4 linked regions of the Tamandua tetradactyla genome follow. The protein of the gene in region 1 interacts with the protein of each later gene in a biochemical or structural test. Links are inferred from orthologs where the notes say so. Each region holds a gene or a part of one and is shown in the gene's direction. Other genes may lie near its edges. The genes, in order: OCRL, RAB31, RAB6A and RAB8A.

Region 1 (7,923 bases):
TTGCCACTCTCTTCTAGAATCTTATATGTCCTCTCTTCACTGGCTCCTGCCGCTTTGCTTTGTTATCATTATTCTTAGTAGTATTTTGCATGAGCAGACAGCGGGAATCAAACCTGGGTCTCCAGCGTGGCAGGCAAGAACTCTGCCTGCTGAGCCATTGTGGCCCACCCCTGCCACTTTGCTTTAAAGAGCCTCCATAGTAACCTCTGTTTGACCCTTCCAACTAATTTAACTAAAATTGTATTTCACTCCTCTTTATTTTCAAACCCCTTCAATATGTGGTCTCTCGTCTCTATTTCCTCATGATATGGTCCCTCTTGAATTTCCTGTAATCTCATTTCTACCCTCACCACTTACTGAAACCATACATCTAGTGGTCTGTAATGACACATCCTTGACACATTCAAAGAAAGTCTTTCAATCTTCATTTTCTTTCTCCTACTTTTAGCATTTGACACCGCTAACCTCCCCTACACATTTTTCTTTATTTTTCATTTTCAAATATTGCAAACGATTCCAAATGCAGGAAAATACATAGAGTAACATAATCAATGTAGGTACCCACCACCCAGTTATATCAAATCTTACAACACTAACTTTCAGGTTGTGTTTAAGAAAATACATATTACAGATACAGTCTGTATTCTCAGTGTACCCCTCACCAATCGCAATCATCTTCCTTCCTTAAATTTGGTGGTGATGGGCAGGCCACAGTGGCTCAGCAGGTAAGAGTGCTTGCCTGCCATGCCTGAGGACTCGGGTTCTATTCCTGGTGCCTGCCCATGTAAAAAAATTAAAAAACAAAAAAAAATTTGGTGATGATGTTTTATATACTATCACTACAGATCTAGATAGCCATAAACAACAGATATTTTCAAGCTTTATATAACTGGCATACTATATATATGTATTGCAATTTGCTCTTTTTGCTAAGCATTATATTTTTGAGATTTAAACATGTCATACATTTAGCACTAATTAATTCTTTTTCATTTCAAGATAGTATTAACTTCATGAATACAATGATTTATTCATCCATTCACTTACCAATGAACATTTAAGGTGCTTCCAAGTTTTTTTTGAGATTACAAATAATGCTGCAATGAATGTTCTTTTACATGTCTCCTTGTGCTTAAAGGTTAGAGTTTTGTCAGGGTTTATACATAGAAATGAAGTTTCTGGTTTGAAGGGTATTACATATTCAATTTTATTAGACGTTGTCAGATTGCACTTCAAAGCAGTTCTACCAATTTATCCTCCTTTTAGCAGTCATGGTATCTCATGGTTTACATTTGCATTTTCCTGAATAGTAATAAAACTGAGCATTCTTTCATATCTTTATTGGCCAGTTGGGTTTCCTTGACTGTGAATAGCTGATTCATATATTTTGTCAACTTTTCTATCTGGCTTTTTTCTTACTGATTTTTAGTTCTCTATACATTCATACATTTAATCAGTATTTTTTGTGCATCTCCTTTATCTCAGGAACAGTTCTAAGTACTAAGAATACAGCTATATGTGATGCCCCGATAAATCCCAGAGTGATTTGAACAGTGAATAAAGAAGTATTTGCAAAGTCCCCTTGGGGGAATGGGAAGAAAGGAGGAAGTATTCAACTTCCCCATTTGGAGAATTCCTGATATTCTTGCAAATAGTGGGGACAACCAAATCAATAGGCTGAGCCCTCGATCTTGGGGTTTGCCCCTATGAAACTTATGCCTGCAAAGGACAGGCTAAACCTACTTAAAATTAGGCCTAAGAGTCACCCTCAGAGAGCCTCGTTTGTTGCTCAGGTGTGGCCTTTCTCTAAACCGACATGGGAAGTGAACTCACTGCCCTCCCCCTCTACGTGGGACGTGACTCCCAGGGGTGTAAACTTCCCTGGCAATATGGGACAGGAATCCTGGGATAGCTGGGACTTGGCATCAAGAGACTGAGACAACCTTCTCAACCAAAAGAGGGGAAAGAGAAATGAGACAAAATAAAGCGTCAGTGGCTGAGAGATTTCAAACAGAGCCGAGAGGTTAATCTGGAGGTTATTCTTATGCACTATATAGATATCCCCTTTTTAGTTTATGGTGTATTGGAATGGCTATAGGGGAGTACCTGAAATTGTAGAGCTGTGTTCCAGTAGCCATGTTTCTTAAAGATGATTGTATAATGATATAGCTTTTACAATGTGGATGTGTGATTTGTGAAAACCATGTGTCTGATGCTCCTTTTATCTAGGGTATGGACAGATGAGTAAAAAGTATGGATAAAAAATAAACAAACAATAGGGCAAACAAAGGTTAAAATAAATTGAGTAGACTGAAATACTAGTGGTCAATGAGAGGGAGGGGTAAGGGGTATGAGATATATGAGCTTTTTCTTCTTTCTTTTGCTGGAGAGATGCAAATGTTCAAAAAATTATGATGGTGATGAATACACAACTATGATATTGTGAGCCATTGATTGTACACCATTTATAGAATGTATGTCAGGAATGTTTTTATATTAGGAATGTTAGTATGTTTGTTAAGGTTTGACAATAAAAATTAAAAAAAAAAAGAATACAGCTATAAACAAAACAGACAAAAACACCTGCCCTAAAGGAGCTTACATTGTATGGAGGAAAGTAAACAATAATTTAGATTGATAAATAAAATAAAGATACAACAGATACTGGTCAATCCTACAGAGAGAAAATAAACAGAGAAGAGGGATAGGGAGCATGTGTGGGAAGGGGATTATCAAATTACAATTTTAAATAAAGTGATCTGGGAAGGTCTCACTGAGAAAGTGACATTTGAGCAAAGACCTGAAGGGTGTGAGGGAACAGGCAGAATGCACAGCACGTGCAAAGGCCTGATTAGTCCTAAGGTCAGCAAGGAATCCATGTGACTAAACAGAGTGAGTTGGAGAACGTGGCAGGAGAGGAAGTCAGAAAGGTGATGATAGCCAGAAGTCGTGAAGTCATCCTTTCTTGGTCACATGCCTTGGGAATATCTTCTCCCAGTCTGTGGCTTGTCTTTTAACTAGGTTAAGTTGACTTGAAGCCATATATTTTGAAATTTAACATGGTCACACTTATCAATCATTGCACTTAATTCTTTATACTTTCCAGTGTCTTAAGTAATCACTCTCATTCCCTATTCCAAGGTTGTACAGATATTCTCCTATTTTCTTCTGAAAGTTGTAAAATCTTGCTTTTCACATTTATATCTTTAATCCACCTAAAATAATGTTTTTCCTATATGGTGCGAGGTAGGAAAATTTTATAATTTTCCATATGCATACTCAATAGCCCCAGCACCATTTAGTGGATAATCTGGTCTTTCCCTGCTGTTTTAAAATGTCATATATTCTGTTCTAGTTTGCTAGCTGCCGGAATGTGATATACGAGAAACAGAACAGCTTTTAAAAAGGGGAATTTAAATGAAATGTGATCCCACCATACAGCATTCAAAAACAAGGGGGGGGGGGATTTATTTAGTTGCAAGTTTACAGTTCTAAAGCCATGAAAATGTCCAAATTAAAGCATGGATATAGAAATGTCCAATCTAAGGCATCCAGGGAAAGATACCTTGGTTCAAGAAGTCCAATGACGTTCAGGGTTTCTCTCTCAACTGGAAAAGCACATGGTGAACATGGTGACATCTGCTAGCTTTCTCTCCTGGCTTCTTGTTTCATGAAGCTCCCCGAGGGGGCATTTTTCTTCTTCATCTCCGAAGGTCTCTGGCTGCATGGGCTCTCATGGTTCTCTTGGTTCTGAAGCTTTTTCCAAAATGTTTCCTCTTTTAAAGGATTCCAGTAAACTAATCAAGACCCACCTGGAATGGGTGGAGTCACATCTCCCTCTAATCAAAGCTTAATACTCACAATGGATGAGTCACATCTCCGTGGAGATGATCTAATCAAGTTTCCAACCTACAGTACTGAATAGGGATTAAAAGAAACAGCTGCCTCCACATGATGGGTCGGCATTAAAACATGGCTTTTCTAGGGTACATAATCCTTTCAAACGAGCACAGTTGCTGAATATCAACTTTCCATATATGTGTGGGTCTGTTCTATATATTGTTCCATTGATCCATCTATCTCCAAACCATACTGTCTTAATTACTATAGTTTTAGAATCACTCTTGGTATCTCGTCCACTAGAGATTCTTGAGCAAATGAATAAAAGTAATTAAAACACTGCTCTGGGAAAAATATTCTTATCACTGTAAAGAGAATAAAATAGTTAAAACAGTGATTAAAGACAACGAGATTCATTTGGGGGGAAATGCAGTAACCCAGATAGGATATCACAAAGGCTGAAAATAAAACAAATGGAGAGAAAACAAGGAATCTAAAAGTAATTCCCCCCAAAATATTAACAAAGTTGAATGGATACAGAGAAAGCAGGAGAGAGAGGAAAGCATATGGCTTTGAAGTTTCAAGCCTAGACCCCTGTGTGAAATGATGAGTTTGATTTGTTATACGGTTTTGTGTATTTTGTTAACAATGGGGTATATTAAATATGAGGTCTGTGCCAGGGATATATATTTGGACGTTCCCTGCCTAGAGATCACCTTGAGAGGGGACAGAGGAGGAGCAAGAGTCTGAGCTTTGAGGAATTTTCTGGTTTAGGGGGTGGAAAGAAGAGGAAGGGTAGAAGAACATCTGAGAGATAGGATAACCCGCATAGTGCATTATAACAGTAATAAGGATTTTTCGACTAGATTTGATATGAGTCCGATTAGCCCAACACCTTTTGAGCCCCCTGATAGTTATGACTGCATTTTGTTCAAAGTCCCCAGAACAATGCTGGCGTCACAGGTAGTATTTAAGATGCATTCCTTGCTGGACATGGTAAAGACGCCCCCAGTCCGTCGTGTCTGTCACTGCAGTTCCACAGCTTGGCCGCAGAGGGCGGAATCTGCGGCGGCCTGGGAAACTGGCGGGGGCGCGAGGCGCCGCTCTCTCTCGGATCAAGCTCTCAGCTCCCGGCTCCGGGCTCTGGGCTCCCGGGTCGAGGCTGGCGGCGCTGAGCCGTTCTGCAAAGTAAGCGTAGCGCAGGCAGGTGGGTGTGAGGGCAAGGGAGGCAGCGTCGTTGGATCCGCCCGCAGTCTGCAGTCCCGCTGATCCCGGAGGCCTCCCCAATGGAGCCGCCGTTCCCGGTCGGAGCCCAGCCCCTTGCCGTATCCGCCTGAGATAAGGGGGAGGGGGAGCCGTATCGGCCCGGGGATGGGGATCGGGGGGGAACTGTGGAACACCGGGGAGGGTGTCGGCTAGTTGGAGAAACCGCCGAGCAGAGCAGGGGGAGGGGGCGCTGGCGCGGGAGGCGATGCCTGGGGGCCAGGGAGGGCGGGCGGAGGGGCGACAGGCTGCCTCGGCACCGCACCACGCCACCCCTCTCCGGCCGTGATTCCAGAGACCCTTGACTAGCGTCCGCATACTATCGAGGGTATGGAGATGAAAGGGCCCCTCCGGGAACCCTGCGCTCTGACCCTAGCCCAGAGGAACGGACAATATGAGTAAGTAACCACCTGATTCCCACAGAAGAGAGGAGCCTCCCCTTACCTCCCAACCCCAAACCACGACCATCCACCCTCTTCCCTCTGGGGTTTTGCGGGCAACAGGTTCAGACCCAGGTGTGAAGTGCGAGAGTGCTCTCCAACGGCGGGGCTCTCCCCCTGCGTTAAGTGGTAGATTGCGTCTATATCGCTCAGTGGGAGGACTCCGTGAACAGGGAGGAAGCCTGGGTTCTTAGTTCCTGCCCCTGCAATTGACGTGTGTTGTGTAACCTTGGGCAAGTTAATAAAGCTTTCTGGGCCTTAGTTTTGTCACCGGTTAAATAAAAATATTAACTACCTTACCTTATAGCCATTCTTTGGAGTTGTAACTGGGGGAATCATAAATGCAGAAGTGTTTTAGGAAAAGTAAAAGCCCTGTAGAAAGGCTTCATTGTTAAACTTACAGGCTTGCCTTTTCTTAACCCCATTCAACTGGTTCCTCCAGTCTCCCCACCCCCCTATTCCATAAAATTCAAAGACCTGCAACTTGCCCCAAGGCAGGGTCATTAATTCAGTAATGGTTTAGTGGAAGCCAGTAACTGCCTCACACATTGGCCTCACACATTGGTAGAGAAAAGGTGATGAAATGTGAAAAAGTATAAACATTTGACATTTTATCAGTGTATCACCTTCCACTCTATTTCTGCCTTGCACATAGGAGCTCAGTAAGACTGCTGACTGATTGAGCAAAAGATTGTTTTCATAAGCTGTCATTATATAGCTGCTAATCTCACTCCCTTGCCACTAAAGCCTCATCTCAAAAATTTCCCATAGTGACCATCTTATCCCATCCACATGTGCCCAAGCCTCCTCTCTTGGGCGTCCACTGCATTTCTTGATTTCTTCTGAGTTTAAAAGTTGTTGACCACTTAAATCCTACCATCTCCCATCATTGGATTCTGCCTAAAAACAGTATCTCTGAATTCCTGCTTTCAGACTCTAGACTGGATTTGTGTCTGTGCTGTCTAAACCTAAAAGAAATTCCCACTAGCCTAGGCTGCCCACTTCTTGCACTGTTGGTGCCACTTTAATTTAGCATCACCTGATTCTATAAAAGTAGTTCTTCCCTAGGTCCTGCTTAGTCAGTTCTGTTGATGTCGGAAATTCATATTGTTTTTCCCAGGTTTCCTCAATCCCTGGAAGACTGGTTTAATAAAACTAAATTCAATAGACAAGTGAATTGAAAACTGAAACAAACTGACACTTCCAAGGCTAGGATAGGGCAGAGAGAATGGATTTGGAATGCAGAGCCTAGGTTGAAATCTCATTTCTGCTATTTTTGAGATGTGACTCTTGGGCAAACCAATGAAATTTTTATCTCTTATTTTCCTTTTATGCCAAATATGATTATGAGGATTAGTTAAAATAACTGCTTTGTTGAGGTGATCACAGCCCAGGATCTGGTTCCTTGGTTTAGTAGGTTTGCAGCTTACTTGGCTAATAAGGGAGTGAATGACTGGCCTTGACATGAGCACTTCATCCTGTCTGGGCTCTTGTACTAGAAGTACTTTTAAACTTGCAGCAGTGGCTGTTCTATTTGAATCCTCCCCATAGAGAAATCAAATTCTTGTATTAGAATTCTGTGCAAGTTACGAGTATAATAACTAACATTTAATGGTTTTAATATGTGCCAGGTACTATTCAAAGCACTTTTCATATGAGGGTTAATATGAAAAAGTAATAATATCATCATTGTTCCCCTTTTATCAATGTAGAAATTGAGGCACAAGTTTGTCACTTGGTCACAGTTAGGAAGTAGCATACTTGAGATTTGAATCTATGCAACATAGCTCAGCTACTCCAGCTCTTAATTACTCTATGCTGTCTCCCAGCTGTGTACGGAGGCTACCATTTCAGTAACCTATCTCAGAATTATGTGGTCTGCTTTTTGAAATAATTTCTTAGAATCCCCTAATACCCTAATGCCATCTATGATCCTTAAATTCTTGTTTCTTGGGTACCTTCTCTGTCTTTGGTGTCCAGAACTTTTTTTACCTTTGACCTTTTTATCCTAGAACTTGAAGCCTATCTTAATCTTTACATCTGGAGCTTTTCCAATCAACCACAGGAGAAATTTGCTTGACAGACCAATGTTACAATTAAAACTAAATATTTTGGAAATGAGACATCAAAACACTAGGGTTCATTTCTTTTTCTCAAGGATAATAGATTATGATAGTACCTGTTAGTTCACCTTAAATCAAAATATGTGTTTCCTAGGAATAATGCTGAGTCAGCATTGACAATATGTCAAATACTGATTTCTGTTTGACATCTATCAAATTCTGATTCCATTGTTTTGCCATATGCCTTTTTAACAAATCTTTTTTGTTCTGAAACGAATTATTACATTTCAGTAGAATTTTTTTTTACTTTTTAAATT
Region 2 (7,097 bases), on another chromosome or scaffold:
TGTACTACATTTGTAAGATGATTTTGGGGTGTCTTTAATATATTTCATTGCTTTTTTGAGTGTGTGTGTGTGTGTTTTTGCACAAGCCGGCAGGTTTGCTAGTTAGTTTCTTTGTGCTGAGTAAATGCTGAGAGAAGCTTAGGGGTAAACTTTATGAAGGAGGTGGAATTTGAGTAGGTCCTTGAAGGATGATGGGGCTTCGCCACACAGGCTAAGAACACTTCAAGTCTGGACACCATCTTCTAATGGTATGATGTTGATGAAGACGTTAAAGCAGCAGAAAAGCAGAAGTCTGAATTACTACAATGTCCTTTTACTTTACAAAGGTCCATAAAGAAAACTTGCATGTTCTACTTTTTTGATCAGGTAATTATGTCCCATTGACTTTGTTTTTTTAATCCCTGCTTAAGCTATATCAGAATTTATTTGCAGAAAATTCCAAAGGACTCTAGGTGGGTCCTTCATTCAGCTATGTAAGAGCATGATGATAGCATTCATGGAGAACAAGGTATCTTTAAAGAGTTGAGAGCTGCCTCATCTCCTCCCTCCTCCCCCTCCTGGGCTAGTTTTGTGTTTCAGTTGGGTTGACCATGGGGGCATGTTTTTTCCCAAGGTCGCAGTTGTCCACCAGGTCCACCTGGCTGAGAAGGCGAGTCAACCCACGAGCGTGGTCGGATGACCGCCTAGAATTGCTACTTTGTAAAGCAGAGTGCATGTCCTCTTCAGAATGAGGCAAAAACAAGGTAATGTTTAATGGCGCTGGGGATAAGAGAAAGACAAGCAGACCAAGGTGATTCTCATTTTTGTCTGGGGACAGTCCTGCCTTCTGTGACTTAATGCAGCTTTACTAACCCTCACTCATTCTATGGGGTATAGAAAATGAGAAAATTTCCCTGTGTTTTGATGGGCTTTACCCCTCCCCCCACTCCTGAACTCTTTTATGAAAAAATTTCTTTAGGGGAATTTCTTATCTTGGAAAATGACACTTTTCCTACTGTTTAGTTGCTATAGCTACAAAGAAAAAATAAAAAGAATTATAACAATGACTCAATTTTCATAAGCTGCCCTTGTGAATTAGTAATAAATTAGCACCACTATTTTATCATGCTGGTTCTTCATTTAAGTTGGGGTATCGATTTTGGTTTATCAACATTTTTGCACTTTGAAATTATGGGATGAAGTCTTGGGGTTTTGTTCCATTGGATAGGTTTTTTTCAGCAGGAGGTATTTTCGCAATGGGTGAACTCTTTCTTTTAAATTTTTGTTTTGAAGATACCATCTTTTTTACTTTAAGTATGATATTTGAAATCTGGAGACCATCCACCTATGTGGATTGGCCAACTTTTAGGAAGCAAGAGGAAAAGCCAGGCGTGCCTGCATAAACATGGAGATTCAAACACCGCCAGCTGGATGGCCCACATGCTGGAATCCCCTGAAGACACAGGAGAAGACAAGGCTCTGCTGTGCCCAGGACTGGGAATTCTGTTTCACTCTGCCCATAGAGAAGATGTTCTGTACTTTAAATGCAAAACCAAGGACAGATACTGACACAATAGTCCCAAAGTTGAAAGCTAGGAAAAGATGTTGACCTTGGCCCATGGCTACTTTTTGAACACTGTAGTACAGAGCTGCATGAATGAATGACCTTCCACAACCGGGCACGTGGCACGTGGGAAGGTCCTGCTGCTTGGGGACTCTCATTGACAATTGTGTTTATATGGGTGTCTTTTTGATTCCAGCCTTCTAGGACTTTACTCTCTGAAGGTCTCGATTTGGAAGTCCCCATTGCATGGGGCTTTTGGGTGGTGGGTAGTTTAAACCTGGTCTCAACCGCAGCAGAGCCAGATAATTAAGGTGGGTGAGAATGGAAATGCCGTCTATCAAAATTGAAAATCTCGCTCAAGGGTTTGGGATTTTTTTAAAAAAATCGTATTTCTGATTTGAAATGCCAGTGACTTATTCGGGTAGTATGCCCGAAGGCTGACATTTTTATGGCAGTAACAAATGAAGCCACGGAGTGGATGAGGCAGACCAGAAGATACACTGAGAAGGAAAGAGAACGTAATTTAGAACAGCCTCCCTTAGATGGGTTGCAGTCCTTTTGTTTCCTAGTTTAGAAAGGCTGCAGAAGGACCTCGTGCCGTGACTGCTGGGCGCTCCGGGTTTCTAGCTACGGTTCCGGGCGCTGGGTTTCTGCCCACTTGAGCTGGTCTGGGAGGGCAGGGTGGGGGGCGGCCAGCAGACCGGCGGGGTGGGGCGGGGCCAGGGCGGGGCTTAGTCGGGGGCGGGTCCGGTGGGCGGAGCCTCCTGGGCAGGCCGCCGCTGCTGCCGGGCTGGTTGGCGGCGAGGAGGCGGAGACCCGAGTGCGCTCGCGGGGTGGGTGGAAGCGGCGGCGGCGGCGGCCGGGGCTGTGGGACCCGGGCCCAGAGGATGCAGAGCCCCTGCCTCGGCCCAGCCGGAGCAGATGATGGCGATACGGGAGCTCAAAGTGTGTCTTCTCGGGGTGAGTCCTGGGGCGCCGCGACCCCGCCGGGGCTGCCCGCTCGCTTGGGACCCCCTCCCGGGACCCCCGCCCGGGACCCCCTCCCGGCGATCCCTGCCCGCTTCAGGCGGGGTGCAACCGCCCGCGCCCCTGCGCCGGGAGCCCAGATGCTCCGAGGACGGGGTTCAAGGACTCCCGCGTTCATTTCCTCGCCGGGGTTCCGTTGCCCCTCCGCTCCCCACCGGTTCCCGGGACCCCAGCCCAGTCCAGGCGGAGATTCAGCCGCCCTCGGCCCTGGGGCCTGGCCCTCCCCCGCTGCCCCGCTGGAGTCTGGCGGGACCCTGGGACGCGCGCTGTCCCTCCCCACCCAGGGCCGCCGGATCCCTCCCTGGGGTTAGCCGGAGGGTGAGGGTCCCGGCCACCGACCGCCCCTCCCGCCTCGCTGGGCTCGCCGCTTCGCTGTGGTGATTTCCTTCCGGCGGAAAGTTTACGTTACTTGGCCAAGTGTGGCCGAGGCCTCTTTTGCCTCCTGGGGGCAATATGTTTACCACCCCCCACTCCTTTAAAAAAAAGAAAAAAAAAAAAAAAAAAGCCCAAGCCAGGGTGAAAACCGAGAGGGTGGCGGGGCTGGAGGGTGAAGAAAGAAAGTTCTGCATGCTAGTGTGTTTGGAAAACTTTTGTGCCTCGGATAAAGAAGCAGCAGGCTAGGAAACTCCTTCCCCATCACCACTTCCCTTCGCTCACATGGGGCTTTCTGACCCTGGAGAAATGTAAAAACGGCCAGCAACACACACACACACACACACACACTACACACACACACACACACATACACACACACACACAGCCGTTTGGATTGGCAGACCAGAGAAGACACAGATCAGCCCCTGGGGCACCCCCCTTCCGCCCTGGGGAGAGTCAGCTCGTGTTCAGGGTCATTTCCTTGTGGGTGCCACATCAATTTCTACAATTACTTCTTGTAGAAGAAGAGCTGGTTCAAAACTGTGTTTTGAGCAGCCTTTGGCATCCACGCCGGGTGTTCCGCCCTTCTGGTTGGCAGATCTGGTCTCCTAAGAAAACCATTTACTAAAAAAGAACAGTGAAGAGATTAGAGCCATTCTTACTTGTCTCAAAGAAATGTTAACTGGGCTGTGACTGTGGACGCACAGAAGTGTTTAAAGAGGAAATGATTCTAGAGCATCTCACCAGCCTGTGCCACTTGCCAGGGGTTAGAACCCAGCTGTGCTAAACTGAGATCCAGTCCTGGCTCCCTCAAGCTCTTCTTGAACCTTGGGCAGGACAGTGCTCTTGACTCGCCCATCACTGCCCTCCGCCAAAGTATTCTTTACATTGGCTTGTCCGGTTTGCTTATGGTTCCAGGGCATCTGACCCTGTCCCCCCCACCCCCTCTCGGGCACAGACCCCCACCAACCCCCTGTCCCCCTGGCACCCTTGTGTCCTGCTCTGGCTCTGCTGATTGTTGTCAGTGTCGCCCGGGCTTGCTAATAGAATCCAGGCGTGAATTCCTTATGGGGAATCATTTCATGTTTCCTTGGGAGGAATTGCTGTAGCCCCAGGAAAGGCCTCCAGAGACTTGGAAGGAATGTTTGGTTCCGAGGACTCAGGAGGCAGCATTGCGTATGTTGCGTGTGTCAGAATTGGCCCCAGGAAGAAACGAAGTGGGGAATGTTTTTGCTTTTTTTTTTTTAAACGTTTTCTCCCTTGTCATCAGTTTAGGCTCCATCCCATCTATGACTCCGTCTTTCCAATGTTGGCATTTAGGGATGAGTTTCTATATCCTTCTGCAAGGAACTGATCAGGTGGCAGAATCTTGTCTCAGGAGGCAGGAAACATGGGTTCTCATTCTTGCCCACGAACTGGCTGCACATTTTTGGACAACTCACTCATTTTGCCTCATCTACAAAATGAGCATGGTAACATCTTCCTTCTAAGGGAGGGGACTATTTCCTGTTAACCTGCGATTCCAGGGTGACAGTTGGAAACCTGGGAGATGAGAAAGCTGGAGGATATCCCTTCATTTCCACCCCCCTCCTCTTATCTCCAGGAATGAAACACTCTGTTTTAGAGGCTTCCTGCAGGCAATGCCTCACCTTTTGTTCACTCCTGCTATGTAGTGAATCACTTGATGGGGATTTGAACTTGGAGCAGATGCCAGAGCAAACCAAGGAGGTATTTCTAGGCAGATGGAGGCTTTGAAGCACCCGTGGTAACACACCGTATCTGTGGTGTCCATTTTCTGTGGTGGTTGTGTTTTAAATTTTATTTAGGTCAGAGCTTATCTTATATGGAAGGGCGAATGACCTTACTCTCTAGTCTTAGTAATATTTGCTCAGTACCCTGGTTTGGCTTGACTTGGGGGCACAAGAGCTGCTCTTACAAGAAGGGCCGTTCTCTGGACAAGACAGCATTTGGGTGAGATCCAAGGGTTTTCTGTCTTGATTTGAAGTGGGTGGAAGAGAGAGTCCATGCTAAGTCCAGAAATTCTTGCAGATTTTTTAACAGGAACCCTGTTAGCTTCTTGGTCTTTGTGTAGGAAGGTCTGTCCTTCCAGGATGTGGTCTGGCATACCACCAGCACTCAGCTTCCTCTTTTTTGGACACCACCACATCTTCCTGGAGTCTCTTGTGACAAAGACCCCAGGAGCCACGCCTCCATTGGCCCTGTTGAGATCCCTTTTGGTTTGTCCCCATCCTAGGATGGGATAGAAAAGGTGGCCCTTGGTGGCCCAGTGAATGAAACCTTCCTATTTCCCTGGGAGACTGAGGGGCTTGGCTTTTTGTGCCCTGGCTATTCAGGGTTTATTTGAGGACATGCCTCTCATTTGGCACAGGCTGGTTTTGGGCATAGGCAGTTGCTATGCTGGTCTTTTCCTCTCTTGGTGGGCTGGGGACTCTGCCTTCCCACGGTAGGGTTGTTTGCAACAGTTGGAGGTGAGGGTAGGTCACAGGCCATGTCTTTTTCACCCATGCCTGGGTCTTTCAGAACCTGATGCTTCTCATCATTTTCCTGGGACGTTAGGTGGGTCTGATTTTATTTTTTTCCGTGAGTGCTCCCAGATGGGATTAACAATGGTCTGTGGAACCGTCTCTGAATGCTTTGTGTTGTGAGAAACCAAGAACTCAAGAGCATTAGGTTTATTTGGAATTACCTCTTATATTCTTGGTTCTCTCCCTTTTTTTCCCAACCACGTGTGAACCTTTTCATGTCTGTTACACGTGGTTACACCTCAGTGAGCCTGTGTGAATGCCCTCTCTTGGGGCACTGCTGGGCCCCTTAGGGAAGCTCGCCATTCAGGAGGACGTGTGGGACAGGGGATCACAACGAGTGATCCTTGTTAGACACTTAACGGCCCCGTGGGTCTCATTCTTGCCAAGAAAGTGCCAAGCATCCTATTTAGTAATCTGAACCAGGATTATGAAACATGTAGCTTAAAAACAGCCCCCCCCCATAAAATCCGCAAATTATGTTAAAAATAACTAACAAAAACAGTATTCAGGCAGCAGCTGTTTAAACCCCAAAGGTGGAACGGTTCCCAGTATGCATTTTCAACACACATCACCACGTGGCAAAAAGGAGGAGGAGAGGGAGAAGGGAGAAAAAGAGGAGGAGAGAATCTTTATTTTATTGTTTCCTCTGTGTGCACTTCAAAACTGCTCCCTCATGGAATCCCAAAGAGATGTATATTTGGATTTTGGTTGTCTTGACAATGATTGTAGAGTGATTTCTGCTTCCTCCACAGCTGAACGAGCAGTTGAAAGGCAGTTGAGGGCTTCCCTGCTGCAGGGAAGGAGCTTCTTGAAGCATCTACTGTTGGCCTTGTTTTCATCAGAGAGCAAAGACCTTGGATTTGTCATGACACCTGGGCGATAGGAGACCTCAGATGCATACAGGACCTTCATGAGAAGGGTCTTTGGCTGCAGAGGGCATCTGAGGGGCTGAGGATGGAACAGATTTTGCTCAAAATTACAGCAGAAAGTTCTAGCTGTCAGAACCTCACATGGCCTTCTTTGATCCCTGGTGAGCTTCCTCTTTCTGAAATGTTTCAGTCAAGTTAACCAAATTTGGTTGGGGCGTGGTGGGGGAATGAATGCCCAGGGTTCAGGATTGGGGCTAGATGATCATCACATTTGCTTTCTAAGCCTGAGATTCTATTAATATACTTTTTTTTTCTTTCTTTCTCAGAAACCAGCATTTCTTTGGGGGAGTGGGGGTGGGGGGGAGGGGGAGCTCAGAGAGGCAGGACAGCAACTCTTTCTTACCACACTTGTTTCCTCTATTAAGTTGAACCCTTCGCGGAAAGTATGGCTCAGCATTGGTAGCTTCTTCGTCACATGAGAACAGATAGAAACCATATAGTGGGGCATCTTTCTAGCAATGTCCGGCAGGCATTGTCCCTTGAGCAATAACGAAACCTGACCCAATCCCTCAGGTCCTTCTGGTACATTTTGGCTCAGTGTCACTATTCCCACCAGACCTTCTCTGTGGGGTATGCGTCAGAATCGTTTGTGGAGCATTTTCAAATACCTGTGGGTCCCTCTTCCCATCCTCACCTATGACTCACTGTGGCCTCCACCTCTACCCTAGGCCCACATCA
Region 3 (7,468 bases), on another chromosome or scaffold:
TTAGTTGTCTCAGCTCCTGTATCTCATTTGAACTATTGGTTTGTTCCTTTGACTGGGCCATATTTTCAATTATTTGAGCGTGATCCGTTATCTTCTGTTGGCGTCTGTGCATTTAGACAGATTTCCCTGGGTATTGGATCCAAAAGTTTGGAAGATTTTTCTGTGAAATCTCTGGGTTCTGTTTTTCTTATCCTGCTCAGTAGGTGGCGCACGTGGCACACGTTTGTCTGCGGGTCCTACCAGTAAAAGGTGCTGTGGGACCTTAAACTTTGGAAAACTCTCGCCGTCCTGGGGGTTTGCTAGCCGAAGCGGCTTGAGCCAGCCCGGGGTCCGAACGCAGGGAGGGTTGCTGGTCGCCGCAGCCAGGGAAAGAGCCCGTCCGAATTTCCTAGTCGGCCCTGGGCAACAAGCGTGGCGGGAGGGCGCCAGCGGCAGCGGCCCGCCCGAGAGAGTGCACGTTCCCCGGGAGTCACAGGTTTGGAAGGGGCCTCCCCCACCCGTCACCGTTCTCCGCGGCCTGGGGGTTTCCGATCCAGTTCTCTCAGTTGGTCCGGGGGGCTGCGTGTGGTGTGGGCGCCAGCCGCCTTGGTTTCAGGGGACCGCCTCTCCAATTCTCCCAGCCGGCCCGGGAAGGGGGAAGGGAGTAACTCCGGCCGCTTGCCACCCCACCCGGTAAGGCCCGCGTGCCTCGGCGATCTCACCCGAGCTGCTTCTCTCAGCCAGCCAGCCGTTCCAGGATGGGGTACGCTGTCTTTTTTATCTCTGTTGTGGCTTTCGGCGCTTTCTGTATCGTTTCTACTCCTCTAGTAGGTGTCCTGGAGAAGAAACTAAGATCCGCGCGTCTTACTAAGCCGCCATCTTCCAGGAAGTGCTTCTTTTTTCTTTTTTTTGCATGGGCAGGCACCAGGAATCGAACCCGGGTCTCCAGCATGACAGGAGAGAACTCTGCCTGTTGAGCCACCATGGCCCACCCTCCTAAGCATAATTTTAAGTAGGCTTAAGCTATCCTTTGCAGGAATGATTTTCATACAGACAAATTCCAAGATTAAGGGCTTGGCCTATTGATTTGGTTGTCTCCACTGCTTGTGAGAATATCAGAAATTCTCCAGATGGTGAGGCTGAATATAGAATATATCCTCCTTTCTCCTCAGTCCCCCTAAGAGGATTTTGCAAATACTTCTTTATTCACTGCGTAAATTACTCTGGGATATATCCAAGCATCACATTAATCTGGAAAAATCAAAAATATCTCATGGCTTATTCAAGATTCCCTGTACTTATGATGTTCAACTAAACTGATAATACTAGTTAAATTAGATAATGTGCTGCCCAAAATATAAATTCTGCACCAAATTAACATCTCTCCCTTTGGTCTCACACAGAAGTTGAAGTTTTAAAACATGGACGATATTATTCTTTATCCTGTATTCTGATCTACCCCAGTTCTATACAGATCAGCTTCATTCATATTTCTATTCAAAGCTAGATCCCCTTTTCAACTTTTAAAACAGTACCTTAATGGGGTGCTGCTGATTTTCATAGCTTCAGAGCTCGCACTCTGAGTCTCAGGTGTTACATAAATACCCGAAGTTTCTGGGAACAATCATGTTATATACAAATAGCTCAGTAGATCAGATTTTAGAAATAACAGTTACAATTCAGGAGTTGTATATATGTGACTGCTGAAAGAGCTTAAAATCTAGGATCCTTTACAATTCCAATCTGGTAACCTCTGCTCTCAACTTCAGTTCACCACATTTTTATAATATAGTTAGTCCACATGAGTGAGGCATGCTAATATTTGTCTTCTTGTTTCTGACATTTGAACATAAGGTCCTTAGGTTCATTCACATAGTTGTATGCCTCACAGCTTCATTCCTTCTTGCAGCCACTCAGTAGTCCATTGTATGTGTAAACCACAGTTCCCCTTCCATTCCTCAGATATCATACCCTTAGGCCACTTCCATCCGTTGTAAATCACTAACACTGCTGCCATAAACACCAGCCAGTAACTACTTTTAAGGGCAATTTAAAAAAAAAATCAAATGTTCAATTCTGACTGTTTTTATCATTCCATTCAAAATACATTTGCACAAATTCTTTTGCCATTTAATGGAGAGAACAGTAAGAAGTGAATAAATTTTGACAGAAAAGGAGGCTTGTGGATATAGCTGTATTCTAGATATATTCTGAAAATTTCTGTTCTGTATTAGTTTGTTAAATCTGCTGGGATGCAATATACCAGAAATGGAACGGCTTTTAAAAAGGAAATTTATTAAGTTACAAGTTTATAGTTTTAAGGCCATAAAAATGTCCAAACGAAGGCATCCAGATAAAGAAACCATGACTCAGGAAAGGGCCGAAGATGTTCAAGCTTTCACTGACAGCTGGGAAGATACCTGGTATTGTCTGCTGATTCTTTTCCTTGTGGTTTCAAACGGCTTCTCTGGGGGTGTTTTCTTTCTATATCTCCAAATGTCTGTGCTGGCTCTGGAGCTTTTTTCAAAACGGTACCCTCTTAAAGGATTTCAGTAAGTGACTTCACCTCGAATTGGTGACCACACATCTATTGAAACCACTTAATCAACAGGTCCCACCCACAAGTGGGTGGGCCACACCTCCATGTAAAGAACTTAATCAAAAGATCCCATCCAACAATATTGAATCAAGATTAAAGAACATGACTTTTCTGGGGTACACAACAGTTCCAAACTGGCACAGTTTCCTTCCCTTGATTTATTCTAGGTCAGCAATTCATCCCTGGGCTTGAAAAGGAACTTCTTTGATACTGCCATTTCTATAGCTAAGTAAGTAATAACCCTGGAATAATGAGAAAATATATATATAAATGTATTTTGCGAATGGTAAGACACTATACGCACATGTAAGGATTTATTATTAACTTGAGAAATATTTTTGATACCAGTTTTTAAAAGTAACCTCTTCAAAACACAGGGATTACTCTTTCATACTCTATCACCACAGTGTGATGACATTTGGAGGAAGTTGTGTGGATGCCAAATTCTCTAATTCCGAGATTCTTAGCCTTTTATTTATCTTTTATTAACAGACTTTATTTAGAACAGTTTCAGATTTACAGAAAAATTGAACACATCATAGAGTTCCTGTATACCATACGCACTATACAATTTCCCCTATTTTTAGCATCTTACATTAATATGGTCTATTTGTTACCATGAGTTAATACTGATACATTGCTATTAACTAAAATCCATACTTTATTCAGATTCCCTTCGTTTTTATCTAATGTCCTTTTTCTGTTCCAGTATCCCATCCAGGATTCCACATTACATTTAGTCATCATGTCTCCTTGGGCTCTTCTTGGCGGTAACATTCTTTGTTTTTTAGATCACAAATCCAGGTGAAAGCTATGGATTCTCTCTACCGAAAAATGTACATGCTTTCAATGGCTAATTTAAGGGAGGTCCACTTACGGTGATTCAGAAGCCCTGCTTAGGGGGAAAGGAAGAGCTTTAAAATACCTACTTCGCAAGCTCTGCCTCTAATTTGTTGTGTGTCTCTCCGCAAAGGCGTTATTCTATATGGGTCTCAATTTCACCATCTGTGAAATGAAGGATTTGGTTTACATGATACTTAAACTCCTCTAGCACGGTGGAGTGTAATGTTCAAGTTATCAGCATCTGAGGACGATAGATCGACCCGTTAGGCCAAGAAAGTGCGGCCAAGAAAGTGCGCTGGCTTATCAATAAAGACACCACACAGATACAATGGGAGAAAATGAGAAAACCTGGGTTCTACTTTCCGGCTGTGCGGATTTTGCAAGCCATTTCCTCTCTCTGGACTTCAGTTTCTTCATTTGCAAATCGTGGAGGCCTTGTTTCTGGCAGTTATGAAACTCCTTGCAGCACCAATAGAGAATGTACCTAGTTAAGTGCCAATGTGAGGAATTATGATGAGTAAGAAGATGGAGAAAGTGGGTGGATACATACATGGGTGAAAGGTTGACACGAGGAATGTAAGGCAGGGATGGGAACAGAGGAAAGACGAACACAGCCTACACTTTAGTGCTCTCCGACCCCACCCGTACATCTCTGGGGTAATCCCTACTTCCGTTCGGGCCCCGCCTCTACCCCCTACTTCTCAACTCTTAGGGACAGACCCGCCACACTCTGCATGGCCGCCACTGCGCGCCTCTTTTCACAGCGCGAAGGCCGCGCGCGTTCTCGCACCGCCACCTCATTCTCGTCCCTGTCGGTCCTTGGCCTCTTCCGATTGGCTCACTACGAGCGTGACGTAAGCACTCCATATTTCACCCTTTCCTTTTCCTTTGGCTCCGTCCTGCCCCTCCTAGCTCCTCCCGACGTGCTGGAAACTTAACTTGCCCTAGTCTCCGCGGCGCCGGAAACCGGGAGAGCTGGCTAAACCAGGAAGGCGATGGTCGTGGCGCGCACGCGCACGCACTCACGCACGCACGTCGGCGGGCGCCGGGCGGCAGGCTCGCGCCCGGGCTTCTTCCGCGCCGCGCCACAGGCTCGCGCACTTAGCAGGTTGGGCTGCGGCGGCGACAGCTGAGGGAGTTGAGGCGCTGTGTGGGAGAGATCCCAGACGCGTCTGAGGCTCTGGTTTTGCCATTCTTCTTTTCTCTGACCCCACTTTCCGTGCCAGGTACTGAAGAAGGGAAGGAAGTTAGCCCTGGAAACCTCGAGTACACCCTTGGTTGCTTCGACACCCGCCCTCCTTCCCTTCCGAGCCACGGGCCTCGCTTGGTGCTAGGCGACTCTGCTGGGAGGCGGCGGCGGCGACGGCTGCCTGTCTGTGGGGAGTCCTGCCCTCCAACCTTTCTCATCCGCCGGGCCCTGCAGGGGCCAAGAGAGCTGGGCGCCTGCCCTTCCTCTCGCTTTTTTCCTCAGCCGGTTGGAGCATCGTCGGTCCGGAAGGTCTCTGGGCTGAGGCGGCGGCAGCTCCTCCGGCTCCATCATGTCCGCGGGCGGAGACTTCGGAAATCCGCTGAGGAAATTCAAGCTAGTGTTCCTGGGGGAGCAAAGCGGTGAGTGCGCGGCTCCCCCCACTCTTGGCACCTTGCGGCGGCTTCCCGTCGCCGCCCCCAGTGCGGTCCTTCAGTCCGCGGAGGCTTCTTGCCGGCCTCGCATTCATGCTCTGTTCCATCCCCCCGGCCCTTCCCTGTCTTCGCCAACCCCTCTTCTCCCTGGCTTCTCCGTCCCTTGATCTGTCGATCGATTTTACTCTTCTCCTTTGGCCCTTCTGACCCCGACTCTGCTGTCTGGTTCTTCACAGGCCTGCCCTCACCTACCGATCTGCCCTTCCCAGGCCTTACCCCGCCCAGCCTCTGCCTCCTGTCCATCTCTTTCTTCCTCTGGTCTCCGTCTCCCTTACCCCAGCCCTTTTTCTTGAGCCCCACCCCTATTCCTTGCACTCTGCCGGGCTCGTCGCCTCTGTGATGGCCACCCCTGGAAGCCCCGCTCCTGGGAACAGGCCCTTCTCAGACTTCGGCAAGGAGGGTGGTATCTGGGCGTTGTTTTCCCCTGGGGATTGGCTTGGGAATTGAGGATCTTTATGGAAGGTGGGAAATGGTGATGGTAGAAAATTCTTGGATGCTTTTTACCGTGGTGTAGAATTAATCTGTATTATAGCGGAATTATGTCTGAATTGGAAGCGTTTTGTGAATTGGGTGGTCTGCGTGAGGGATGGCGGCGGGCGTGGAGGCTTTTGCTCCTTGAGTTGGGTTCTGGCTTGTCGGAAAAAACCTCATTTTCTTCTCTTGACTTGAATCACTGACGATTCTTTTGGCAATGTTGATGCTTTTCCGATCTCTGCCAGATGCTATGTCATGATCGTTTTACTTGGAATTTTTCACATTCAATCTCCCCTTTTTCTCGTTTCAACATGAAGCGCTCTCTTATTTTTCTCATGGTGGTGCATACAGGAATGACTGGGGAAATGTTAATTATTCATTTCTTCTTGTATGTTTTCCAGTCATATATTTAGGATTTCTTCGAGAGGTTTGAGAATAAGGAATATCTTTGTTTTGTAGGATTTCCTTGGGGGTGGGGAGCGTTAGGGAGTTATCTAAATTAAATTTGTTATACTTTGGGTAAATGACTTTTATGCCTAATGTTCCATAGTATTTGGTGAATGAAACTAATGTCATTTAACCTGATCAAAGTTCTGCTCTTGCTGTAGTTTGTATTAGAAGAGATCCTAATTTTGTGAAGGTTGTCTCTAAAATTATTTCTTCTAGTAATTCCAATTTTATGCTGTTATGCAAATGTTTCGAATACAAATTTCCTATCTGCAGTATGCAAATTTGTTTAGAGATTATTACCCTCTTTTGTTTTTCTCACACTGTTCATGACCATCATTAAAATTCAAATTTGAGTGAGAAGTTCCTCCCAAATCATCAAACATTGGGTATCTACTAGGTGACTTAGGTTATATTAGAGAAAACATTATTTTGCCTAGAAGGCAGGAACCAATACAAATTCAGAGCTTTTATTAACTAATACTGTGAACTATTTAAACTAATTTATATGACATTAAGGTAGGCTAGTATTAGCTGCAAAATTACTTCCACTTGCACCTGAACAATCATTTTTCTCTTTCATACATAGATCTTTTTCCCCTTGCCAAGGAAAAATAAAGCCTACTCTTTGCTTATAGATTTTCTTGAAGTACGCCTTAAGTTTTTTTTTAAGATGAGTAACTTGGTAGAACATAAGGAATTGATTCTGATCCAGGCATTTTATGGCAATATCAGGACAGTGCCGTACATGAAAAATAGTCTGTAGGTCAACATTGGTAAATAGGATCTAAGTGCTTATTTTTCAGTTTAGGGATATTATTGCCTGCCTTGTGTTGTGATGCATCTATTTAGTTTGCATGAAAAACTCTTTAATCTCTTTCCTAGGATGGTTTTAGCATGTGTAGAGATCTGAATTTAAGTGTATTTATGTTTTAATTCACATTGTAGAGTTTCATGGCTTCTCATTTATATTTTCTTAAAACCTTTGATAATCTCATCTCCCCTCCCCTCCCCTCAGGTAATTCCTGGAGTCATTTTTTTATTTTTGTTTTTACTTAGATTTAATTTTCCTTTTTTTTTTTTTAACATGAGCAGGCACTGGGAAACAAACCTGGGTCTCCAGCATGGCAGGTGAGAATTCTGCCACTGAGCCACTGTCACACCACCCTACTTAGATTTAATTTTTGGACAGTTTGAGATTTACAGAAAAATTGAGAAGTTAGTACAGAGAGTTCCCAGATGGTATACCTCCCACCCCCACCTCCCAGTTTCCCCTGTTATTAGCATCTTTTCCTAGGATGGTACATTATTTAAAATTAAAGAACCAGTATGGATACTTTATTAACTAAAGCCCCTAGTTTATTCACATTTTCTTAGTTTTTACCGCTTGTTTTTTTTTTCCCCTCAGGATCCCATCCAAGCTACCACATTACATTTAGTTATATC
Region 4 (8,011 bases), on another chromosome or scaffold:
TTACCTGGGGTTGACGGCACTGCTCTGGGTAAACACACACAACAACACAAATGGGACTGGAATTTAAAGAGCCGCTCTCTGACGCTCCAAAGGAAAGACAGGTGACAGGATTGCATTTTCCTTCCAAAGGCTTCTAGCAAAGACTTGGGGATTAATTAACTGGCACTGGGGGGGAAGCTATGAAGTCCCCGATACTTGGGACTAAAATCTTAGGTCTGTGTAGCACTCCTTAGGTTCTAGAACATTTCTCATTTGTTCCTCGTAAGTTCCATGCCATACAGTGATAGCCCCCATTTGATGGGTGAGAAAACTAAGACTAAAAAAAGGGTAAATGGCTTACCTCAGTGCCTTCTCTGGGGCTTAAACCCAGGTGTTCTGACACTAGGGTTTCCAGACAGAGTGAATAAAAATACAAGACACCTGGTTAAATTTGAATTTCAGATAGACAATGAGGAATATTTGAGTATGTCTCATGCCATATTTGGGGTATATACTAAAAAACTGTTGTGATCTGAAATTCAAATTTAACCAGGTACCCGGCAAATTATTTACAACCATGTGTGACTCCTGAATTTGGGAACTGGTCCCTCTTCTATCCTGGTGTTCTGCTGTAATTAAAATACAAAGTACTTTCTCCGCTATTACCTTCACTTTGGCATTTTGGGTTTGGAAACCTTCTTTTCCCTCTGTTTTATAAAAATGCATATTAATTTCATTTTCCCCCTGTTTTCTTAATCCTCACCAGAAAAACTTGCCCAGGCCAAAGAAGAGAACGTGGGCTTACATCAGACACTGGATCAGACGCTAAACGAACTTAACTGTATATAACCAAAACAGAAGAGTCTTGTTCAGAGCTCCGGTCTTTCTCTTCTCTTGTAAGAAGTTTCTTTCGTTATCGCATCTTTCTCTTTGCTGGAAATGTCGAGCAAACCTATGAATCCATGACCAAATATTTTGTTATCAGAGACGCTTTGAGCACCTGTTAAGTTTAATTCCTTCCTCTTTTCCATGGCACTGGCTTTCTCAGCTCTCTTTTTACCCTTATGTTGCATTTATTCCTTAGGCAGGGTATTTGGTTCCTGGGAGACTAGACAACCCCACACTTTCAAGAATACAGACTCCAATATCTAGTCATGGGTCAACTTAAAAGGCTGAAGAACAGAACCATTTGGGCTCACCTTTGGTCACACTACAGGAGGCGAGGGACCATCACATTAGAATGGGTGGGGATTTTCCATCCAGAGCAAGAAAGAAAGAAAAGAAAAAAGGACTCTTAAGGAAAGTCATAAACCACATGCAGAGTAGCCTAATCATCTTGGCTGTTCTCCACACTCCACTGTACACAGCAAACATCCTCTGAGCAGTCAGCATGGAATGCTTGGGAAACAGTCATAATAATAACCCACATTTTCTGGATAGATCCTTGACGTTTATTTCATTCTAAAGTTGGCCTCTGGGGAGCAGATGGCTTATTCCAATAATGCCCCTTGGCTGCCTACCCTATTCAGTAAGGCCATCCGCTCTGGAGGAATGGATATGGCAAAGTTCAGAACAATTCACGGCTGCCATATCAAAGAGAATGCAAGCCATCAGTAAATTGGGCAAAAGGATTTTTGTTTTTTTTTAATCAACAAATACCAGGCAGAAGGGGTCTCTCTGGCAGCAAAGCTGGAATGAAAAGGCTACTGACCCAACTTCATCTCCATAGTTCAGAGAATGGCAAATTGAAGATTTTTAAATTTAGGACTTTAATTCCTTCTTCGGGATCAAGTGAGTAAAAGACCAAGAAACTCCTGATTAAACTGGATTTGGAGCATTTTGTAGACAGAACTGCACATTTTACCTTTGCGATAGTTCTGCTTTCTCAGTTAACATCTCAGAACTGAAACATTCCACATTCCCCAGAAGTGTGGGGGCCAACTCAAGTTTACAATTCCGGCTAAAAAGTGACCCTGCTTCTAGTTTATCCAAATCCCCTGCCCCTCACTCCTATTTATTAAGCATCACACTACCCAGGAGATACACTAGCAAACTGAGCAACTGAATAAAACCCACACTTTCTTGCAACTGTATCATATGTAATAGTATCACTTTTTCTACATTTTGGCCAAATAAATTTTTACATAAACTACAATGTGTGTGAATTTTGGGATGTGTAGGGGAGTAAAAGGCACTTTGGGTCTCAATAGCCAACAAATGTTAATGAGAAGGAAAAGAAGATTACCGTGCCAAGAACTTAGTTAATGTTATTTATTTGCTTTATACCATGATTTCATGATGCAAGGATTATGAGTGCCACATGACACATGAGAGCATTTTGCCTCAGGAACTCAAATGCTTCTGCCCTGTGTCATTCCCGGTCCTGCTCAAGCCGCGCTGGGAAGATGGTCCCGTTATCTGCTAGGGCGAGGTTTCCTGTGTGTTGGACATCAAAAGGAAAGTCAAAGTGAGAAAGCAGGAAGGTAGGCTGGGTTCAGACCGATGAGAATCTGGAGTCAATTTGGTCAGGAGTGGAGTGTGGCTGACGACTTGAGTGATCACAGCAGTATAGTAGGAAAATCAACTTAAGCGTTTTGTTTTCAGGCAGGAAGATGTTTCAATAATCCAGGATAGTGGTTGCCAATAGGAGGCAAGAGATGGCCTGATGGAAATAGCCTTAAGAGTAGCTGACTGCATGGCGGGGAGCTTGGAGAAGAGGGTGTCAGAGACCACTGCAGTTTCACTACCTGAACTGCTTTGGCATCCTGCCTCAAGAGCTCCTTAACTGGGGGTGGGGAGGGAAGGAAATGCATCAAAAAGAGAAGTGAAAGCTTTTCAAAAAGTTAAATACAGGATGCCAGCAATTGTTATCAAATGCAGTGAAAAGCACTTCCCTCATATTAACATTGTCCTGACACTGAGCCTGGTTAGAGGGTAGATGCCATGAATAATGTATAACGCACAGCCCCCTCCCCTGCCACACCACTGCGTGATTGAAGTTTTCTCTTCGCTGTTCTGTTCTCAGCCTTCCCACCACCACCTTCTCTCTGGAAACTGTTTTACTCAGTCCTGTGCCTCAGCACGTAGCTTAAGTGCTCACCGCCTGTTAACCCAACCCACTCCAGCTCTCCGCAACCGCCCACCCCTGTGGCACACGGGTGGATCGCAGGGTGAGGTGAGGGCCAGACTGTGGCGGGGGGCAGGGGTTTGTACACTCAGTAAAGGTTCTGGGCTTTACCCTGCTCAGGGAATACTGAAGGATTTCAACCAGGGGGATGGCTATGCTTAGAGGACAGTGTCTTGGGATGAACTCTGCAGGATTGGGAGAGACCGGCAGGGAGATGTGAGGGCCTGGCTGTGACTCTGAAATGGAGGAGGAGGATTCGGGAGCTATTCAGAACCTCCCCAAGAGCCCGCAGGTAAGGGGTGAGGAGGTGGTGGCCACAAAGGCAGGTTTCACACAGAAGACAGTTCTGGACCAGCAAGCTGGAGTGGAAGACGATGAGTTCAGCGGTGCACACGCTGAGTTGAAAGCACTTTTGACAAATCCAGCGGTAGAAGTCAAGGCCCCCAGAGACGCAGGGATGGGGAGGCGATGAATGAAAAATTGAACCATCCTTGGAGGCCTGGGAAGTCACAGAGTGAATGAGAGGCCCCGAAAATGCGAACAGAGGGCTCGGGACATAGAGCCACAAGGAGCTCCGCTCAAGGCACAAGCCGACATCTGCCCAAAGGCGCTGACGGGGTGCGACGCAGCACCCAGAGAGAGGCAGAACTGGGTGCGGGCCACGGGCCGGCTGGGGAAAGCGCCGAGGAAAAGAGCCTTTCCAGAGGTGACCAATGGTCAGAACAGCGCCGAGGCTGCGGCCTGAAGCGTTTCTTGAGCAGAGCTAGACGGGCCATCCTGGAGCCAGGCCGAGCCTCTCCTGGGAAGGACCTTAAGGGCTTCCAGCAGCCTCTCGCGGTGCCCCGGGGGCGGCCTGAGGCGCGAGGCCAGGCTGACAGCCGGCACGTCGGCGAGGCGGCTCGGGCTCTGAGAGGCGGGAAGGGGAGCGATCCAGGGCTCGGGGTCTGCAGCTGGCCCCCGCCTCGGGTGCAAAACCCATCTTCACACACCTCCGTAGCAGGGAAAGTGACCTGTCGCCGGCCTCCCTTTCCTCCGCACGCAACGGGGATCAACAATCAACATCGGCCTCGGGTCAGTGCGAGGGTTCAAGATATGAAGTGTTGAGAAGGCGGCCTGCGCGCCTCCCCTGGCCCCTCAGGCCCCCGAGCGCGCCTCCGAGGGCGGACGGGGCGTGGGGACAGATCTCGGGGGTCCCCACAACCTCTGATTAGGTCCGCGGGCCCGTCCTGAGGAGGCCCACGCGCCTCAGGGGACTGGGGTGGCGGAGGCCGGGTTATCCCCAGGCGGGCTCCCAGGCCGGCGGAACTCCCGGAGCACATCTCCAGAGGCCGCTCCTCGACCGCGACGAGCGCCCTTTCCCTGCTTTCCTCTTCAGCACCCCGAGACCCAACACCAAGGCTTCCAGCCGCCGCCTCCGCCCACCGTCCCTTCCCGCGCTCGCCCCGCCGTCTACTGAGCCTGCGCGGACTCTGAGGGCGGACCCCGGAGACATCCCTCCCGCCCCACCACGCGTGTGCGCCCTCTGCTGGCGCCCAACGGTCTCCCCAGGGCGCGTGCGCAGTCCTTAGACCCCGCCCCCGAGCCTCCGGCGCACAGGGCCGTTGGCGACGCTCCCTGCCCTCCACCCCTCCCCTAAGGGGGCGGGGCCTCCCCAGAATTGCGGGCGGGAAGGCGTGGCCACTGGAGGTCACGCCTCCGTCCCGTTCCCCGTTTGAAGGCCGTCGACTACTCACCGCTGGCCAATCGTAGCGCGCCCTATCCCGAACGCCGGCCAATGGGAGGCGCGCTGGGACCGCTTCCGGCCCCGCGCGTTGGGCGGGCCTCGGGGGCGGGCGTCGGCCGCGATGACGCTCGGCGGGCCGGGAGCCAATGGTGGGCGGGCTCGGCGCTGATGGACGGGGCCGGCGACCAGTGGCGAGGAGCCGGCCGCACTTCCCGTCGGAGACAGAGTGTAATATGGCGAAGACCTACGATTACCTGTTCAAGCTGTTGCTGATCGGGGACTCGGGGGTGGGGAAGACCTGTGTCCTGTTCCGCTTCTCCGAGGACGCCTTCAACTCCACGTTCATCTCCACCATAGGTAACGCGGCCGGGGAGCGGCCGGGGCCTCTGTGGGGACGCCAGAGGCCCGGTCCGGGCGCGCCCCTGAGGAGCAGGTGGGGAGGGCGGAGGGGTCGGAGAGCGTCAGGGGCCCTGAGGGGCGGAGAGCCCCCGCCTCCGCTTCCCCTCGGGGGCTCCACGGGCCGCAGGGAGCGGGGCGAGTGCCCATTTTGCAGGTGGGGTAACTGAGACTCCCATCCTCAGCCTCTCGTCTAGGAGTGTCTGTCGTGGCCTGGGGTCTTCGCGCCCGTCCTCTCGTTCTGTGCTCGCAGCACACCTCCAGGCGGTCCTTTGGAGGCCCCCCGACGTGCAGAACTGGACACTGAGGCTTGGGGAATTGACCGTGGGGTCGGGACTCGCTGAGCCCCTGTTCTTGTGGCCAGGCTCTTTCTGTGCATTCTCACGCCCCGAGCAGAACTCTGCGTTACAGAGGAGACTGAGGGGAGGAGTAGGGACTTACCCAAGGTCACACGGTCTGCAGGTAGCAAGGATGGGTTTAGAACCCAGGGGTGCCTGACCCCAAAATGCCGGGGGCAGCTGTCGCAGATGGACGCCAGCACACAGCCCTGAGACCCCAGAGCCATGTCCCCAAATTGAGCCCTCTCCTTTGTCCTGTTTCCCATGGGTGAATTTTTTGTCTAGAAGGAGCAGTGAGAGGGAGTTGGTGACCTTTCCCTGCCCTGCCTTCCATCCCAGTCGAGGGTGACAGCAATGACGGGTGACAGCTGTCCACCCTGGGATCCTCATCTGCAAGGAGTTGCCAGATAAAAAAGCCTCAGTGAGAAACAAAAACCAGCCTCCGCCGCAAGCAGCCTCGGCTTCCCTATCGCGTGGCCCAGGATGTCGGTTGTCACTTTGCAAAAGAGGCTTTCCCACACAGCCAGCCCACATTGTGGTTGAGCAGAATTGGCTGGTTGCACCTCAGTTCTGACATCCACCAAAATGGAGCTGACTTCTCTTTGCTCCACAAAGCAGTCATTGCTCACTTGAGAAAGCTGGATCTGTCAGGAACATCGACCAAACGGAGTGGCCTCAGCCAGAGCTGAGAGTTTAGCTGAGTGGAGAAAACCTAGTGGGTGGGTTTTGTTTTATCCCCGTGTAACTTTGACCAAGTCGTTGTTTCTCCTCGAACCCCATGACGAGGGTGCTCAATCCATCCTTGTCCTTCACCTAGAGCGCCGTAAATCAAGTCAAGTGTTAGATGTAAGGTAGAGAGCGTTGGACCAGAGGGCATCAGACCTGCCTTCCAGTAGCTGTTTGGCCTTGGAGGAGTCCCTCCACCTCTCCGAGACCGATGTCTTCAGATTAAGAGCAGAGCTCTCTGCCTTGGCCAGGCCTGGGGCTGAGGATCAGAACTCCACCTGGACTAAGAGGTCGAGACCACCTAGAGGCAGCAGGATGGCTCCTGAGGTGGTAGCATCTCCCTGGGCACAAGTGTATCAGAATCCTCCCCCCTCCACCCTCAAGGTCAGCCCTTGGAATAACTCTTGCCTCCCCACCAACCAGGAAGTGACATTAACTCCTGGCCCACTGTGCTCAGCCCCAGACCTCAGTTTTCCAGCTTGTTCCTCACGTGCCCCAGTGAGATAAATTCTGAACTTGAGTTTTTCATTTGGATTTTAAATCTTCAACCCTGAAACCCCATGCAGCACCTTTAGGGCCCCAGGAAGGAGGCATCTGGACTATTCCATTCACGGACAAGAATACAGCTCTCTCAAGGTCATGCGGAAAGGTGGAGGTGGAGTTGAACTCAGCCTTCTCCCCGCCACCCCAATATTCTTCCTATCACATGTGTAATTTTGCTGCAGCTCTCTGTCTGCCCGGGAAGGTTAAATTTGCCGTTACCTTGAAGTCATGGCCTCATAATTCTTAGCCCTCATAAACTTGCTGCATCCTAATTAAATCTGGTGTGCTCGTAAAACCTAGGAGATGTGCAGAGCAGAGTGCTGTCTTGGACTCTGCATATTCAGCCGTGCATCTCGATTTCCTGGATCCCAGTACATCTGTGTCAGGAAGTAGAGAAATGTTTAGGACAAGCCAACATTGGGCTTCTAAGTCCTGAAATATGACTCAGTGCATAAAGGTGATTTCTAGATTGGCACTGCCTGTATCCCTGGGTTTTCTTTGTAGATCAGAGCTTGCGTGGCTGTTCATTTGCTGCCCAGGGGATGTTTTGCCAGAGGCTCTTCTCATCAGCTCCATTGATTGCTTGTGGTGTGGACTTGGCCTGTGGCTCCTGGAATCAGTTCTCGGTGACCGGGCTGTGTTCACCCAGCACCTCCTCGGGGCCCGTTCATTCCTGCAGTGAGATAGATGATGTCCGGGAAAGGCTTTCATGATCCTACAGCTCCACACACGCCCTGTTGCCCTGAATTCTCTCTTCCAGCCATCTTCCACCCATGCCTCCTGTGCCAGCAAACGCCTCAGGGCAGGGGCTGCAGAGGTGAATCAGGGAAGCAGACAGGTACATGAAGCCTGTGCACAGGGCTGGGCATCTGACAGGTGTTTTGTTCAGCCCCTGCCATTTTGAGCCACTGGAGGTAGAGGAGTGATTGAAACACACGTATCGCCTGCACTCAGGGAACGTATGTTCTAGTTGGTGGGGGTGGGGGGTTGTTGAATCATAGACGTCCGGTCACTTTGGTTCCCAGGACACCTCCTGAGGCTCGTGAGGGTGGAACTCGCATCCTTGGAACAGCTTCCCCTTGCTTGGGGCAGGGGCAGAGGCAGAGGCAGGGTTCAGTTATTTCACCTCCACAGGCCTTCCAGATCCATTACTTATAGTTTCCTGAAGCAAATACGCAA

Evidence for each region.
Region 2: the proteins of OCRL (region 1) and RAB31 form a complex in vitro, tested with the Homo sapiens proteins (2 studies listed by BioGRID and IntAct, with this or other methods). The link is inferred for Tamandua tetradactyla from reciprocal best matches to the Homo sapiens genes OCRL and RAB31.
Region 3: the proteins of OCRL (region 1) and RAB6A form a complex in vitro, tested with the Homo sapiens proteins (2 studies listed by BioGRID and IntAct, with this or other methods). The link is inferred for Tamandua tetradactyla from reciprocal best matches to the Homo sapiens genes OCRL and RAB6A.
Region 4: the proteins of OCRL (region 1) and RAB8A form a complex in vitro, tested with the Homo sapiens proteins (2 studies listed by BioGRID and IntAct, with this or other methods). The link is inferred for Tamandua tetradactyla from reciprocal best matches to the Homo sapiens genes OCRL and RAB8A.

Annotation. Positions count from the first base shown.
Region 1 is NC_135353.1:34,136,116-34,144,038, reverse strand, and holds the start of OCRL (inositol polyphosphate 5-phosphatase OCRL), read left to right. Parts: upstream 1-4,923; 5' UTR 4,924-5,126; coding exon 5,127-5,165; intron 5,166-5,421; coding exon 5,422-5,501; intron 5,502-7,923. UniProt on the Homo sapiens protein: Catalyzes the hydrolysis of the 5-position phosphate of phosphatidylinositol 4,5-bisphosphate (PtdIns(4,5)P2) and phosphatidylinositol-3,4,5-bisphosphate (PtdIns(3,4,5)P3), with the greatest catalytic activity towards PtdIns(4,5)P2.
Region 2 is NC_135344.1:73,360,744-73,367,840, forward strand, and holds the start of RAB31 (ras-related protein Rab-31), read left to right. Parts: upstream 1-4,086; 5' UTR 4,087-4,549; coding exon 4,550-4,672; intron 4,673-7,097. UniProt on the Homo sapiens protein: The small GTPases Rab are key regulators of intracellular membrane trafficking, from the formation of transport vesicles to their fusion with membranes.
Region 3 is NC_135334.1:72,222,525-72,229,992, forward strand, and holds the start of RAB6A (ras-related protein Rab-6A), read left to right. Parts: upstream 1-4,468; 5' UTR 4,469-4,959; coding exon 4,960-5,029; intron 5,030-7,468. UniProt on the Homo sapiens protein: The small GTPases Rab are key regulators of intracellular membrane trafficking, from the formation of transport vesicles to their fusion with membranes.
Region 4 is NC_135337.1:94,765,489-94,773,499, forward strand, and holds the start of RAB8A (ras-related protein Rab-8A), read left to right. Parts: upstream 1-4,995; 5' UTR 4,996-5,062; coding exon 5,063-5,186; intron 5,187-8,011. UniProt on the Homo sapiens protein: The small GTPases Rab are key regulators of intracellular membrane trafficking, from the formation of transport vesicles to their fusion with membranes.